Danio rerio: one gene and its partner. The protein of the gene in region 1 interacts with the protein of each later gene in a pairwise test. Links are inferred from orthologs where the notes say so. Each region holds a gene or a part of one and is shown on either strand. Other genes may lie near its edges.

Evidence for each region. The genes of interacting proteins can lie anywhere in the genome.
Region 2: the proteins of garem (region 1) and grap2a interact in binary tests that used the Homo sapiens proteins (3 or more experiments, as listed by UniProt). The link is inferred for Danio rerio from reciprocal best matches to the Homo sapiens genes GAREM1 and GRAP2.

The regions. Positions count from the first base shown.
Region 1 is NC_133182.1:41,687,900-41,691,988, forward strand, and holds the start of garem (GRB2-associated and regulator of MAPK protein 1), read left to right. Parts: upstream 1-1,285; 5' UTR 1,286-1,444; coding exon 1,445-1,565; intron 1,566-2,750; coding exon 2,751-2,891; intron 2,892-4,089.
Region 2 is NC_133178.1:28,191,783-28,195,874, reverse strand, and holds the start of grap2a (GRB2-related adapter protein 2a), read right to left. Parts: upstream 2,811-4,092; 5' UTR 2,688-2,810; intron 1-2,687. UniProt on the Homo sapiens protein: Interacts with SLP-76 to regulate NF-AT activation. Binds to tyrosine-phosphorylated shc.

The sequences.
Region 1 (4,089 bases):
AGTGGCGCAGTGGGTAGCACGATCGCCTCACAGAAAGAAAGTTGAGGGTTTAAGCCTTGGCTGGGTCAGTAGGCATTTCTGTGTGGAGTTTGCATGTTCTCCCCATGTTCAGGTGGGTTTCCTCCGGGTGGTCCGGTTTCCCCCACAGTCCAAAGACATGTTGTACAGGTGAATTGGGTATGGTGTATGTGTGTGAATGAGTGTGTATAGATGATTGCCAGTACTGGGTTGCAGAGAGAAAGGAACAAACTGTGTAAAACATATGCTGGATAAGTTGGCCGTTCATTCTGCTGTGGCGACCTCAGATTAAGCCGAAAGGTAGAGGAATGAATGAATGAATAAATTGGCTGTCCTATATGGGCGTTTCCTAGTGTTGGGTTGTGGCTGGAAGGGCATCCAATGCATAAAATATATGCTGGATAAGTTGGCGGTTCATTTTGCTGTGGCAACCCCTGATGAATAAAGGGACTATGCTGAAAAGAAAATGAATGAATGAATTCAAAAGTGTGCCAATAAGGTGCAAATAAATTGTACTTAAAGATCAAGTATTTTAAGTGTACTTTATGTATGCTAAGTGAACTTGTATAATAATGTACATTACTAACAAACAATACTATTTGAAACTGAATTGACCCTTTTTTAAATAACCTAACACTATTATTTTAACTTATTAAATTAAAAATGTTACGTCGTTCAAATTGTTAAATAGACTCCTTTATTACTCCAACTTCACTTTGAAGCACAGTAAAACATAATTTTATTTATTTTGCAAGTATAATTGCACATGACGTGACCGTAACACCAAACTTCTAGATTAAATTTTGGCTATTGTTTTTGCTCTAACTTTTCTGTGTTCCTAATTAGACATTAATTTACATGCGATTTGTAACTTAGCCCCAAACTAAATGATAATTTTAAGCAATCCCATCTCTCTTGATGCTTGATTACCAACGTCTCTCTAAAGTCTAATATTGTGTACGTGTAATTTTATGTACATTTCCTAGAGTAGCCTATATAAAATAGGATGTTTTAAGTTTAAGTATAGGATTGCTGTATCAATGTATTTTTGTAAGCGCACTGTTGTATCCAAGATTTGTATTTACGTTGTTTTTAATATCCAGAGGGCGTATTGCTTTATTGAATATTTTTGTATAACCTGTAATATTAAAAATACAGTGCGAATTATGGCGCTGGTTGCCCGAGCAACCGCTGGAGCAACAGGGAAGAGGAAATCGCCGCTCCAGCTCGAGATCGTTACGGTATGGGATACATGGCATTTCCTGTCAGTGTAAATAGACGGTCGGCTGACATGGCTTCACGTACTGTCCACGGCTGCCTCTGAGTAAACAAAAGGGCATTTACCGAAGCTTTCTCCATGACAGAGCCGTTCTTCACTGCAGATGCATGCGGCGGCGGGCTAACGTGCAGATGTTAGCGAGCTAACATGGACCTTGGATCGATGCTGTACAACAGTTTTAACAATATAACATGGAGCACAACGACACTACCCTTGGACAGACTAATTAGTTCCTACAGACTGCCACAGATCGTCAAGTTGGACAGCGGTAAGATTTCTCCGAGTTGTGCTGTGTTTCTGTTGTGTGCGGCAGCTGCGCGTGGGCGGTTGCGCTCCTGTGGAATTCCAATAATTAGCCGCTCCGCGCGCTAAGCTAACGAGACCCTGCACTCAGAAGACACACACACAGTGGACACCTTCAGTCTGTAGGCTTCACCGGCATGCCTTAAACAGCCTACGCCAAGAGCGATCAGTTTAGTTGTTGTTTTGAACCCAGTGAGCACAAACAGTCAAATAAAGGGCGAAAAAGAGAGGCATGGACGTTAGCGAGCTAACTCGAATTAGCCAGAGGCCATAGAGTTAAATAACAAACTGCAGGCAGTCAACCCCCGATCTCAAAACATTTCATTTTAATCGTATAGGGGGGAAAGTTTTTGTTGCTTTCTAACCTCTGCGAACTCGAAGCTAAACTTTAGAAAGAGCTCACACAAGTTTATTTACAGTTAATAGTGAGGTGATTTATATAGACTTGATGAAAAAAAAAACATTTGTGACGCAACAAATCTAGACTTGGCGAAGTTGTTTGGTTATTATCAATGTTTTATCACGTCACTGACAAACTGCAAGAGCTGTGTATTTGAGCTGCGCTCTGATTGTGTGTGTGTGTGTGTGTGTGTGTGTGTGTGTGTGTGTGTGTGTGTGTGTGTGAAGATGGAGGAAGTCATAATGTCAGGGGAGCTAGATCATTATCATTATGGGAACTGGGGCACTATGATTACTCTGAAAAACCCTTATGATCATTATTATGAACAGAAAAGACTGAGCTTAAAGTGATCCGTGATCCATTTTCTCAACTCTAATATTAATTTATGTGTATGCTCTACTTTCAAATACTCCTGTTTTTACATTCCTGTAGCTCAAATAGTTGAACAAAAAAGTGAGCTCAATACTCACAAGGAAGGGAATGATCAAAAGTGCACATGTAAATGTGTTCAATGATATGTGAGTCACTTTGGGCACAATCATGTGCCAATTGTAAATATTGTCAGTTCAGAAATAGGGTCAAATTATACCCTTATAATGCTAGTTCCAACTGCTGATCTTAATATCCGTGTCATTGTGGACTTGGTATTTGTTAGCATATTCTTAAGTACCACTTAAGCTTTTTTTTGACAGAACTCTGTAGTATTAACGTCACCGTTCTATACTGACGTGACATTGTGTTTTGCCTCAGGAGAATCGGTGGAAGGGTTGAGAGAAAATGACTACCTCTTGATTCATTCATGCCGGCAGTGGACCACAATTACCGCCCATAGCCTAGAGGAGGGCCATTATGTCATCGGACCGAAAATCGAGATCCCTGTCCATTATGAGGGTAAGGCCACTCAGCTGTTGCAGTGCAGGATGTACTGTTTGAAGAAACAGCTTTCAATTTTTTTCAAAGCCATTTTGGTTTTTAATAAGAAGGCAAAGGACATGAATGTTAGTCTGCTAGGATAACATTTTGAATTGATTTGAAACAGAAAGGAGGAGGATTTGTTCTGCTGTGTTGTACTGCTTTTTGTTAGAGTTCATTAGCTAATTGGTCTCCATATTGACGTTATTTTGGCTAAGGAGAGGGTCAGTTGACCACTTAAGGTGAAACAAGACCTTCCTTTAAATCTATATACCACGAAAGACATAATCTTTGCAAACTGTCTGTTTTCACCTCTTTCACTATTCAGTTTCTGTACAATTTGTCATAATAGTTAATGGTTTTATTAAATAAATAAATATATTAATTACTTACATGAAACTGGTTTCCCAGACTAAGCTTAATTTCCGTATAAATGAGAGAAACAAGGTGTCTCTCATTTCAGAGGCTGCATCCTCCGATGGATGCATTCGAAGTGCACTGCGTCATCGCGACGTGACGAAGGCTGTCTCATTTCAAAAAAATTCGAAGGCTCCTTCAAACACAGCCTTAAAATGCGCCCTTCGTTTCCCAGATAATAAAGCACACAACATCATAAGATGTTAATATTAGGTTAGATTAACATCCACACAACTTCAAGCTGTAACATCATTAGACGTTGATATTTGGTTGGTTTTGAGTTGGAGTCGGACATTGACGTTGGCCTGACGTTGGGTTCTTCTTATGTCTACCCAATTTTCATTTCCAAACATGCAACATCCCCGGAAAACGTCAATCTGACACCATGTTGATGTCTTTTGCCTGCTGGGTGTTTAAGGCCATTTCGGTCATTATACAGTAATCATCCATCATCATCTTTTAAGTGACATACATCTAAACCAGGGGTGGCCAACCCTGTTCCTGGAGAGCCCCCTTCCTGCATATTTCATTTGCAACCCATATCAAACACACCTGAACCAATTGATTAAGACCTGAACACCACGTGATAATTACAGGCAGGTGTGTTTGATAAGGGCAGCAACTGAAATCTGCAGGAAGGGGGCTCTCCAGGAACAGGGTTGGCCAGCCCTGATCTAAACAATGACTGGGTCAATGCGTGTAAAGATTTTGGTCATCCTCTTGGACACTTTTAATGTTTCCAAACAGTTTGCTGCAATTA
Region 2 (4,092 bases), on another chromosome or scaffold:
AGACATCTATTAGATTTTCACTGACAGCCTAAATTTAGCCTTGTTTTAGCCAAGATGACTGTCAAATGTTCTCGCTTTATTGATTATCAGTATGCTCTTGTCTCGGATCAAATCAAATCATATTGGAGAGCTTGAACATACACACACAAAAAAAAAAGAAAAAAAAAGACTTTTGCTGCTTGTTCAAACTAAACTGTTTTTAAAACTAAAAATCTGCTATTTTACTTTTTTTTTTCCAGCAGCTGGGGTGCTGGAATTTTTTTTTTTTTAAATAACGGCCATTAAATTACTGACATTTACTGTGAAATAAAAAACAGTAAATTACAGAAATTTACCAGAAATTTAAACTTAAGGAAATTTCTGTAATTTAACGTTCATTATTTTATGGTAAATGTCTGTAATTTACCGTCTGTTTAATTTTTTTAAGGCTAATTTAACGGCACCCCAGCTGCCAGAAAAAACAGTGTACCTGAGTTTTTTACAGTGTACCTGAGTTGAAACAGCACAATACTTAAGTTTTTGGGGACAACTTAACTGTGTTATGTTCAGTCGACTTATGATTGTTAAAATGATCAAGTAAACTTAATCGATTTGTATTGGGTCAATATGAAGAAATTGTGTGAAACCCAGAATTTTTTTAAAGTGTAGGGGTATTTAGTTCAAGCTTCTGTAGTTAAAATAAATACTACAACATTTTGTAGTTAAATGTCAATAAAAATATATTTTAAAAAATCATAGTATTTAGTCTCTACTACACTTTATCTGTACTCTGCACTGTAAAAATATCTGTTAATTAACAGTTTCCGAATTTTCTGTTTATTTACGGTTGTGAATTGATGTTGAAAATTCTACTCTTCAGTTTAACAAAGTAACTTTTGTTGACATTTAAATAGTTTTAGACAAGAAGTAATATAAGTAATAAGAAGTTTAAGAAGTAATATATAGAGAACTAAGTTTGTGAAATAACAGAACCTGGGAGTTTATTACCAGGTTTTTGCAGCATAATATACAACACCAACCCAAAAGACCAAGGTTCCATAGTGCAATTCAAAAGCCTAAATAAGTGGGGTAAAAACATGAATCATAAAATACGGAAAAACTGTCAATTTACAGATATTTTTTTACAGTGTGTACTTTCTATAATCTATACTTTTACTGTACAAATATGCGTTCTTTATTATATGCCAGACTCTGTCAAACCCATGTATAATATCATGGCTGAAATAATATGAAAATATTAATTATTAAAAATGCTAATGTAATGACTGCATTTGTTATCATTTTTAAGAAGTATATGTCCTTGAAATGCAGGCCTCTGGGTTCATGCAAACATTAGCAAATCGATTCAGTCATTACTAGGAAGACAGAAAAACAAAAAAGCCATTTTACACAGAAAGCTGATTTGACTGCTGTGACAGAGGGAAGCTGTTTCTTGAATAAACACTGAGCTTTAGTCCAATTCCCTCGATAGATAGTCTCTTTGTGTTACTGCATGTGCAGAGGCTCAGTGCTTTTGCAAATGTAAGCTTTGGGAAGGATTGCGCTGACTTACTACCGAACGTAAAAGCAAAGCACATTTAAATGTTGCAATTTGTATTTTGAGAATTAATACTGATATTGCGATGACATTACGATTACAACTTTGCATTTTTAGAAATGGGGAAACTGGTGTGGGAAAGAGCTTCTGTCGTAGGCTTAACATTCAATATCAGACCTTCCTTCACTGTAAAAAAAATGCTGGGTTCCACCACAAAATCTCTTCTTGTCAAGTTAACTCAATGGCTTTTACAACTTAAGGTTGATTGAACATAAAACAATTAAGGTGTCCCAAAAAAAAAAAAAAAACATAAAGAATTGGTCTGAGTTTGAAGAAGCAGCAAAAATATTCTATGTGTGTTTGTTTTAGATATAGTAGCCAATATCTATGTACCAATCAGTATCTATCTATCTAGATAGATAGATAGATAGATAGATAGATAGATAGATAGATAGATAGATAGATAGATAGATAGATAGATAGATAGATAGATAGATAGATAGATAGATAGATAGATAGATAGGATTCATCCACTTCTTTAATAACATGTTAAAATAACATGGTTAAGTTTTATTACTTTGAATCAAATTAACCTTGTAATTTTAACTTAAATGACCTTAAATTGGTTTAAAAAAGCTTCTTTAAGCATATTAAGCTGACACATAATAAATATATTCTAATAAATTATTATTAATATTAAAACATGTTTTCATAAACGATCATATAAGATTTGTTGTGTGTACACTGTTCAATATTCCTAGAGTAGGCCTAATAGCAAATTTATAAAAACTTGGAACTATAGAAAAAATTAAGAAAAATAAATCTATTTAATAATTTGTACAAAATATAAGCAGGTTTTACTATCCATTAATTAACATAACACTAATGTGTAGGCTGATGTTTATTTGATACATAAAGTATACCTATGCAAATTCACACATTAAATCAGGAGTTTTGATATCAGCTGTAAACATGAATTGATAAAGGTTGTAGAGCTAAGGCGCACGATGATTGAACAAGCCCCCGAGTGTTACAGCGCGCACACGCTATGTGAACCAACTGTGAAACAACTTCACACATCTATTTCTGGTCTCAGCAGTTTTCAGTCTTTTGAACAAACTATGTGGAAAAAAAAATCTAATTACTTTACCTGTTACCGCTGTGTCGCTGTTTAGCAACAAAGATAAGAAACCTCCAGCAGATAAACTGCCACCTCCTTGGTGTCTCACCCTCAATTCTTCTACCGCTACCTGCATGCGCGTGCCCGTGTATAGCTGCTTTGGCACACCAACAGCCCACAAGAGGAGGGAAAATGAGCATAACTTTGACTCCGCCCTGAAGAAGGCTGGAAGTCTGCAGATCATACTTGTGTTAGTATTTGAAATATTCACTGTTAAGTGGGGTTTTTAAGTTATTATTATTATTTTTTGTTTGATTGTTTTAAATATAGCCGCTTTTTTCGTTCTATATAAATTGAACCGTGTTTTGGTGTCACGATTATAAAGTAAAAATGTTTTAAACAATTTATTACGATTTAATTACATGTATATATTAGAAAAAAAAAGTTATTAAAAAATGCTAAATTGAAACGTTTTAGAGTCCAAGTCTTAAATTTAGTCATGTTATTTTGATACTATATGTACGGTATATATAACATCATACTGTGGGTAGTCCAACATCTAACTTTTTAACACAGATGAAACGGCCATTTTTTTTGCAGTTCTGTAGCAAAGCATGCAGCAGGAAGCATGAAAAGAACTTTCTGGTAGTAAGTGGTTTCTCTCTCTCTCTCTCTCTCTCTCTCTCTCTCTCTCTCTCGCACACTAAACAAGAATACATGCCTGTATATGCATTTATCAACAACCAAAACATTTAAAATATGGAATATAAAGAATCTGCTTCTGGTTTAGGTTTAATCTTGTCCAAGTTTTAAGTCACATAATGTGCTCGTGAAATATTTTGAGCAGGATCGAGACCTCCTGATCAAACCTTTTTTTTTTTTTTTTTGCACCTGCAGTAACCAGCCCAACACCTCAAGCCACAAATAACGTTTCTACATGACAAAACAGTTTTACCATGTCGTGTTTTACCAAGTTAGTTTTTTTAATCAACATTTTAAAACCACAAAGAGAACTAAGAGTGAATTCATTTTTTTTAAATAATAAAACCTCTTGCTCTCTACAAATCATACCTTATCAGAGACATTGTATACTACTTGACAAAAGTCATGTCGCCTATCCAAGTTTTTTTTAATTCAATTTACCTTTTTTTTTTTTTTTGTATAGCACTTTTACATTGTAGATTGTGTCACTTAACAGAAATAATGTACAGTATAGAATATAAAGTCATGGTGCAGTGGAAAAAGAATTAATATTGTGAGTGACTCCCATGAGCTTGGAGGACTGCATTTATACATATCTGCAATGACTTGAATAACTTATAAATAAAGTCAACTGGAATGGCAAAGAAAGCATTCTTGCAGGACTCCCAGAATTCATCGAGATTCTTTGGATTCACTCCTTAATCTTACAAAGACATGCTCAATAATGTTCAGA